Linked DNA regions of Mus musculus: region 2 is reported to be linked to region 1. Evidence: microRNA targets listed by miRTarBase, many of them from high-throughput screens and not tested one by one. Region 1 holds a microRNA gene; the other region holds the end of a gene's coding sequence. Distances are from middle to middle.

What was found. Region 1 holds the annotated microRNA mmu-miR-1195 (UGAGUUCGAGGCCAGCCUGCUCA, at 1,728-1,750, opposite strand). A microRNA usually pairs through its seed, bases 2 to 8, with sites in the 3' UTR of a target mRNA and lowers its output. Matches are read on the target gene's strand: a 7mer-m8 pairs with bases 2 to 8, a 7mer-A1 pairs with bases 2 to 7 and ends in A, and an 8mer does both.
Region 2: miRTarBase lists Mdc1 as a target of mmu-miR-1195. Seed matches in the 3' UTR shown: 7mer-A1 at 1,025-1,031, 7mer-A1 at 1,509-1,515 and 7mer-A1 at 1,538-1,544.

The regions. Positions count from the first base shown.
Region 1 is chr17:70,858,831-70,862,897 of GRCm38, forward strand. It overlaps Mir1195 (microRNA 1195), which reads right to left and starts at 1,770; the gene lies at 1,673-1,770.
Region 2 is chr17:35,857,376-35,861,442 of GRCm38, forward strand. Mdc1 (mediator of DNA damage checkpoint 1) reads left to right here. Exons shown (of 16, transcript NM_001010833.2): 16 at 88-2,295. The coding sequence ends at 255. It overlaps Nrm (nurim (nuclear envelope membrane protein)), which reads left to right and starts at 3,943. Exons shown (of 4, transcript NM_134122.2): 1 at 3,943-4,067. The coding sequence starts at 4,010.

The sequences.
Region 1 (4,067 bases):
AACTTTTTTAAATCGTGGATTTTTTCCCCCTTTTCTTCTTACTCTATAGCTCAGGCCCAGGATGGTGTGGGAATTTACTGTGTAACCCAGACGCTGACCCTGCCTCCTGCCTGAGCCTGCTAAGTGCTGGGGTTACAGGCGTGTATCACCCACCACCTAGTTCTCTGAGGAGGTGGAATCCAAGCTCTGGGCTCTGGGAAGGGCTCTACACACTGTGCTGCACACCACTGGACTGGAAAGCCAGTGTGTACTCTGGACCCCTGAACTGTCTTCCTTCATCTACAAGCTACTGCTTACTTCTATTGTTTGATATAAACCCCAGACATCACATCACTTCTGGATCAGCAGTTATGATTAATGTTCTAGCTTGTCTGATCTGTAGCTCTGAACTTACTCACAAAAGGGCTGGGTCTGCAGGGCAGTGGTGGCGCATGCCTTTAATCTCAGCACTTGGGAGGCAGAGGCAGGTCTGGTCACCCCAGAATTATACACCCCATTGTCTTTTGCTGTTTTCTGCTTCTAAGGCTAAATGTTTCTCCAGAGAGAACAATTACTTTTCATCTCTAGTTGGCACTTTAATGCTTTTAGTTCTAATAACCCATTATTTAGGTTAATAAAGAGATAAAAAATTGCTCCAGCAGGCTTACTCTTTTTTTTTTTTTTTTTTTTGGTTTTCCGAGACAGGGTTTCTCTGTGTAGCCCTGGCTGTCCTGGAACTCACTCTGCAGACCAGGCTGGCCTCGAACTCAGAAATCTGCCTGCCTCTGCCTCCCGAGTGCTGGGATTAAAGGCATGTGCCAACACCGCCCGGCAGGCTTACTCTTCAATGTGCGTTTCTATTCTTTCTGCTGGCACCCGACACACTATGTGCTCAGTTTGTTCTGTGTTGTTTGATTGATGAAATACACTCGAATCTTCACACATTTTTTTTTCCTCCTGTGGTTGGAATTGGATAGTTATTGTAACCAAAGGCTCCACAAAAAGCAATTTAAGGGAAGAAAATTTTATTTTGTCTCATGATTCAAGTGACCATGGGCAAAAAGACAAAAACCTTTATATTTTTTCCTTCCTTCCTTCCTTCCTTCCTTCCTTTTTCTGTAAAACACACACACAGAGATATGGGAGGTGTCCTTCAGGCATGTGGAGGTCAGGGGACAGCTTTTAGGAGTCTGTTTTCTCTCTGCACCTTTTTTGGGGGATGGAGTCTCTTCTGTTGCTTCTCACTGAGTAGTGCTCTGGCCTAGGTGGTCCGCAAGCTCTGCTGATTCTCCGTCTCCACTCTCCATCTCTTTCTGAGAGCACTGGGTTACCGTGGCACACCCTTGTACTCGAGTGGGTGCTGGGGATCAAACTGAGCTCAGTCAGGCTTGTGCACCCAATCAAGGCCAGTGCTTTAGACTGTCCTGCCGTCTGTCCATCTCAAGAGGGCATCTTCATTAAATGGCAAGAAATTAACATTGTGCTCATGAATAGAAACAAGTTTTTAGCTTGACATTTTAAATTTCTACAAATAATGCAGGCTTGACTGTGTCGTGTGTATAAGCCTTGTGTGTGGTGTTCAATACTGTGTAGCTACTACAGCTTCCCCTCAGAATGTAGACTGTTCTCTCTCTCTTTTCTTTTTTCTTCTTCTTTTTTACTTTTTCTTTTTTTTTTTTTTTTTACTTTTTACCTTCTTGAGACAGGGTTTCTCTGTGTGTTCCTGGCTGCCCTAGAACTCATTCTGTTGAGCAGGCTGGCCTCGAACTCACAGAGATCTGCCTGCCTCTACCTCCCAAGTGCTGGGATTAAAGGCGAGCGCCACCACAGCCCGGCTGCCTGGCAGATTTATTTATTTATTTATTTATTTATAACCTTGATCTCATGTTTAAGGTGATGTGTCCCAAACTCTCCACTGTGGGCATTATGTTTTCCTTTATGGTTGATAAATCTATCAAATGTATCAAAATAGGTGAATGTCCTGTCTTTGAAGCCTTCAATCTCAGCCTCCTCACTCCATCATTCCTTCTCCATTGCTTTGCTGTGTCCTATGGTAGGGAGAGCTGCCCCTCCAGTTGTCTGTGCTGCTCTGTCTACTTACAGGACATTTGGAGTCCTGGTTTATTTAGTGCATTAATAGCCTCTTATTATTATTATCATCATCACCACCACTATTGTAAAAATTCTTGGATTTACCCAGAGGAAGTTCCTCAAACTGTTTTTTTATTAATTTATTCTTTGACAATTTGATATATACACAGTGCATTCTGATTATTCTCCCTGTCTTCTCATCTTCCCCTCCAGTCCCTCTGACATGTTCATGTCTCTCTCTCTCTCTTTTTTAATATTACATGTTTTGCCTGAATGTACTCATGTGCCCCATGTGTGCCTGCTACCTGCAGAGGCCAGAAAAGGGCATTGGATGCTTGGAATTGCAGTTTGGATGGTTGTGAGCCCCATGTGGGTTCTCTACAAGAATAACAGGTGCTCTTAACCTCTGCACAACCCTCGAGCCCCTTCATGCCTTCTTGTTTTGCACCCCTTGAGTCTAACCACAGTGGTTCACGTGCCACTGGGTATAGAAGCATTCGCTGAAGTTGGTAGACTCACCCAGTGAACACACAATTGAAGGCAGTGACTGTCCCTGCCCCAGCAGCAGCCAGCACCAATAGTCCCCAAACCGGTTTCCTTGTCCTCTTGTACCATTCTTGGAAGATTTTCTTACCGTCTGGGACAGTGGCGTGTCTCAGGTGCATGCTACACTTCCCCTGCTCCAGTCCCCAAGCCCTGGACTGATCATTTTTCCAGCAAGTGCTGGCTATTCTTGTAGAAAAGAGAATCACTTATAGACATCAACATGAGCTCCAGTCTAGTGCACTGCTACTGAACCATGATTGCTTACTTCTGGGTTTCTCAGCAGAACTAAACACACACACACACACACACACACACACACACACACACACACACACCTTCATATGTTGGAAATCATGAATTCAAGCAGGGTACAATGGTTAACAGCTATATATTTATACTTCTGATACTTAGGAGATAGGCATGGGAATTTGGAATTTGAGGCCACTCTGGGCTACCTAGGTAAGAGTATATGTGAAAACAAGAGTATGTGTGTGATGGGGTGTAGTGGAGGAAAGGAGGGGCCCACATTATTTTGTGCTTCCAATTTCAGCAAACACAGCACTGCCTTCCATTCCCCGCCTCTCATATCTGCGCCCTCTTTTCTAACCACAAGCAACCTGCTTTCCATTACCTCAGGGTAATGAGTACTTAGTCCCATTACCTCAGGGTAATGAGTACTTAGTCCTAGATAGCAAGCTAGAACAGCCCTACCTGCCACTGGTAACTAACTCCTGTTTGCTTCCTCCCTTTGGTCTGGGGGTTTAAAGACAAAACATCCCTACTTCAAGTAATTCTGCCTTCCACACTCTTCAACTGACTGGCGCTCTCTTGAAATACATCTAGGTGATTTTCTGTTTGTTTGTTTGTTTTAAAGATTTATTTATTTTATGTATGTGAGTACAGGGTTGCTGTCTTCAGACACACCAGAAGAGGGCATCAGATTCCATGACAGATGGTTGTGAGCCACCATGTGGGTGCTGGGAATTGAACGAGGGACCTCTGGAAGAGCAGCCAGTGCTCTTAACCACTGAGCCATCTCTCCAGCCCCCATCTGAGTGTTTTTCATTGTGTCCCACACTGTGCCTCTCATTCTTCTGACTCTACAATTTTTTTTCTTGCACTTGTACATTTAGCAGAAATCCGTACTAAGTGAAAAGTTCACCCAGACACCAGTCAAACCCACAGATTCTGCCCACCTTGTAGTCACTGCTGGAGGCAGGAGGATTATGAATTCAAGGTTTTACTTAGCTACACAGAGGTTTGGAGCCCAGCCTAGGCTCTATGAGATCTTGTCCTAAAAACAACAATTAAAACAAAACCTGTGTGTTCTATATTCTGGGTATGTGTTTAGGGCTCTATTTCTGGCAGTTATAATATTTATATTATGTATAATATTATGTATAATATAAATATATAATGATTATGTAATTGAAAATGCTTTTAATATCAGG
Region 2 (4,067 bases), 35 Mb from region 1:
GTGTGTAGGTTCAGTTCTGAAACAGCTTAATGGGTCCTGCATCTGTTTCAAAGTTCCTTCCTAACCGTCTTTGCTGTCTCTTCACAGCTTCACCGAGTCATCATAACTTGCACTGAAGACCTACCACGCTGTGCTATTCCATCCCGCCTGGGGCTACCCCTCCTCTCTCCTGAGTTCCTCCTGACTGGAGTGCTGAAGCAGGAAGCCACACCAGAGGCCTTTGTTCTCTCCAATTTGGAAATGTCATCTACCTAAAAAAATATGTACCTTTACCTTCTCAGACCATCGAACAGTCCTAGAAAACACTTGGAAAAAGGAACACACACATACACAATTAAGACGGGGCAAGGTGGTTCACACCTTTAATCTCAGCACTTGGGAGGCAGAAGTAATCATATTTTTCTGAGTTCTGGGCTAGCCAGAGGTACATAATGAGACCCCATCTCAAAAACCAAATCAAACAACAAACCTCAGGGTTTCACAAAGGCCTAAGGTATATTGTATCATCGTAACTGTTTGGGGAATGTGAATAAGGCCTAAAATGTTTTGGGGAAAAAAGGGAACTTTTTTCCTAAGATAGCCAGTTTTTTAGTTGGCTCACCTGAGCTGGGTATGGCTCTCTACCGAGCACCTGCCATCTGCCCAGCTGTGCTCCGAGGAAGCTGCTCCAGGCTCAGTGCCCTGACTCTACCTCCTGTCCAGAAGCCAGCATTTTCTCTTTACTTCCCGGGGTTCTACTCAACATGAAGCAGCTCCCAGGAGTGCTTGGTTGAGAAGATGAGGGTAGCTCATGGGTGTGGCTAGGAAAGGCTTTAGTTTTGCTGTACTTGCTCTGCTTTGCAGTGTTGGCAGTTAGCTGTGGTCATCTCCAGTAGCTCAGTGCTCACTCTGCCTTCTTGGTGGCAGGTTTCTGTGTGGAGACACAATGGATTTGAACTTGCACTTCATTTATTATTATTATTAATTTAGAGTAAATTGTATTTGTTTTTTAAAGTTGGCTACTTTCCAGGATGTGGAGAAAGTAGAACTCATGAATACTGCTGGTGTTTGGCTTGTCCTCTGCAGTAAACAGTAGCAAAGTTATTTCAAAGTAAGCAGAGCTAGCCGTGGGCATTGCCTGTAGCCCCAGTGCTTAGGAGGCTGAAGTAGGAAGCTCACCAGTGCCAGTTCAGCCTGGGCTACAGCGTGAGAGTCGGGCGTGGTGGCGCACTCGGGAGGCAGACGCAGGCAGAGCTCTGATTTCAAGGCCAGCCTGGGCTACAGAGTGAGTTCTAGAACAGTCAGGGCTGTTAACAGAGTAAATCCTGTCTCGAAAGAGAAGGAAAAAATTTTTTTTGGTTTGTTTTTTGCCATTTTCTCTGGACATGTGTAAGGTGAGTCAGTGCTCGTTGTGCCTGCCTGGTCACTCTATGACCCAGCAAGACTGTTCTGTAAGCAAAAAAAAACTCTGTTTTGTTTGGTTTTGTTTCTTCGAGACAGGGTTTCTCTGTATAGCCCTGGCTGTCCTGGAACTCACTTTGTAGACCAGGCTGGCCTTGAACTCAGAAATCTGCCTGCCTCTGCCTCCCGAGTGCTGGGATTAAAGGCGTGTGCCACCACGCCCGGCTGCAAAGAAAACTTTTAAACATGCATTTGGTATGTAATCCCAGCAGTCCCTGTAAAGGCTAGTAGGATCAGAAGTTCAAGCTCATCGTGGATTTTTGGGTTTTTGTTTTGTTTTTCCGCCCCCAAGGTCAGCTCAGTCTAAACTGCAAAAGATTCAAAAATGAAAAGCACTTGATGTTTTATCTTTTTGGTTGGGCTGGGGCTTGAACCTGGAGCTTCCTTCCTTTATGCATGCTAGGCAAAGCCTCTACCACTAAACCTTATTCCCAGCCCCTCACCTCTTTCCAAATATAGAAAAGCTGAAGATTTTTGTTCAGCAAGGATGAGCATATATACTGTCTGCACAGAAAGCAATGTTCAGACATGAAGTGAAAACACAGTATTTGAAGGTGGTCAAAGACACCCTAACACAAGGGCGAGACAAAAGGGACAGGTTTGATTCCACCTGCATAATAATATATAAAGTGTGGTGTGAATTCACAAAGGTAAGAGCAAATTGATGCTTGCCAGACCATGAGTACACAGAAGCTGTTCAAGGGGTCTAGTGTTCCCCTGTGGGGAGTTGAAAGACTTGGAATCAGAAAGAGGAAGTGATTGTACATAATGCAGAATATTAAGTACTAATGTATAAAAGGGTTGGGTTTTTTTTGCTTTATGAATTTCACTTCAATAAAAAAGTTGCTTACTTTATATTTTCCTGCAGTGAATTATGTATAAGCTTAGAGAACTATTGGTGGTTGGCACAAATGAGGCCCAACTCATGACAGGCAATTGCTTTACAACTCATTCACACCCCAGTTATATGCTTGATCTTTAAGGTTTTTCTTTTTTGGTGGTGCCGGGGGTTGAATCTAAGGCTTCCTGAAATGCTGCTCAAAAGCTTCACCGCTAAGCAGTAGTCCTAGACCATTGTTCATTTGATGCCTGTGGAGGCCAGAAGTCAGCCTTGGATGTCTTTCCTCGGGCCACTTTGTTTTTCTTTGAGATAGGGAATCTCACTGGGACATGGGGCACCCTTAGGCTGGGCTGGATGGACAGTGAGCCTTAGGCATTTGCCTCCCTAGAGCTTGCATTATGATTTAAGGAGGAAACAGGTTAAAGAGAAACCACACATAGTCAACTGCTTGTTTCCCACCTATAAGCTCTTCTGGGACCACTTCACAGTGTCTAGAAGATCAGTGGAGCCAGGATGTGATGCTAGGCCATAATCCCAGCACTTGGAGGCAGAGGCAAGAGGATCTGCTCAAGATGATTCTCAGCTACATAACAGCAAGTTCGAAGCCATCTTGCGCTACATGAAGATTCTGCCATTAAGGCGTGTACCACCACCTGGCTAGATTCTGCCATTAAAAATATATATACATTTTTTTTTTTTTGAGCAGTCCAAGTGGGGGCTGGAGAGAGCTCAGTGGTTGAGGGTACTGGGCTCTTCCAGAGGACCTGGGTTCAAATACCAGCACCCACATGGCAGCTCACCACTGTTACTCCAAGATCTGACACTCACATAGTTGCAAGCAAAACATCAATACACATAAAGGCAAAATAAATGTAAGTACAGAACTTCTTCAAAAACATTCACAGATGGAGCCCACTCAATACATTTCCCAAGCAGAGATCAGGGTGGGGAGGAAAAGTGCTATACAATGCATTAGAACTTGGTCCAGACGTCTTGGGAGCAACCAGCCTCCCTGCCCTTGCTCTATCTGTAATCTGAGAGAATCAGCTCTTGTCTTCTGAGGACCCTGTACTTGGATAGCTATGGTGATTGAGCCTTTCATTACTCGGTCTTTGGTTTTAGAGACAGGGTTTCTCTGTGTAGCCTTTGGCTATCCTAGAACTGACTATATAGGCCAGGCTGGCCTGGAACTTGGAGATCCATATGCCACCATCTCCCGACCTTGTCTCTCTCTCTCTCTTTTTTTTTTTAATGGCTTTTTCGGAACCGGTCTCCATATGCAGTCCAAGCTAACTTCAAATTCTCCTGCCTCACCCTTCCGAGTACTGGAATTACAGGCACGAGCCACCACACCCAGCTCTAAAACGGTCACTATACAAAAATCTATGTTGGGCGGGGTGGCGCCGTTTGTAACCCCAGCACATCAGGGATTGAGGCTGGAGAATAAGGAGTGATTATCTTTAAAAACAAGATGTTCTTTATGTTTCCACGCAAGGGAGGCTCTGTCTTCACTTTCCTCGAGAACACTGACAGCGCTGAGATTCGACCCACAAGGGTAGCCGCAGACCAGCTGCCCTGACGACGCCTGGGATTCCAACTCCGCGCTGTGACGCGCCGCTCGCGGTCCCCGCCTTGCCGCCAGCACCCCCAAGGAGGCGGGACCTGGGCAGGGCCAGCAGTCGCGGGAACCCTGAGCCCGCCTTCTCCTCAGGCTCCGCGCTGCTCGCCATGGCACCGGCGCTGCTGCTGGTTCCTGCGGCCCTCGCCTCCTTCATCCTGGCCTTTG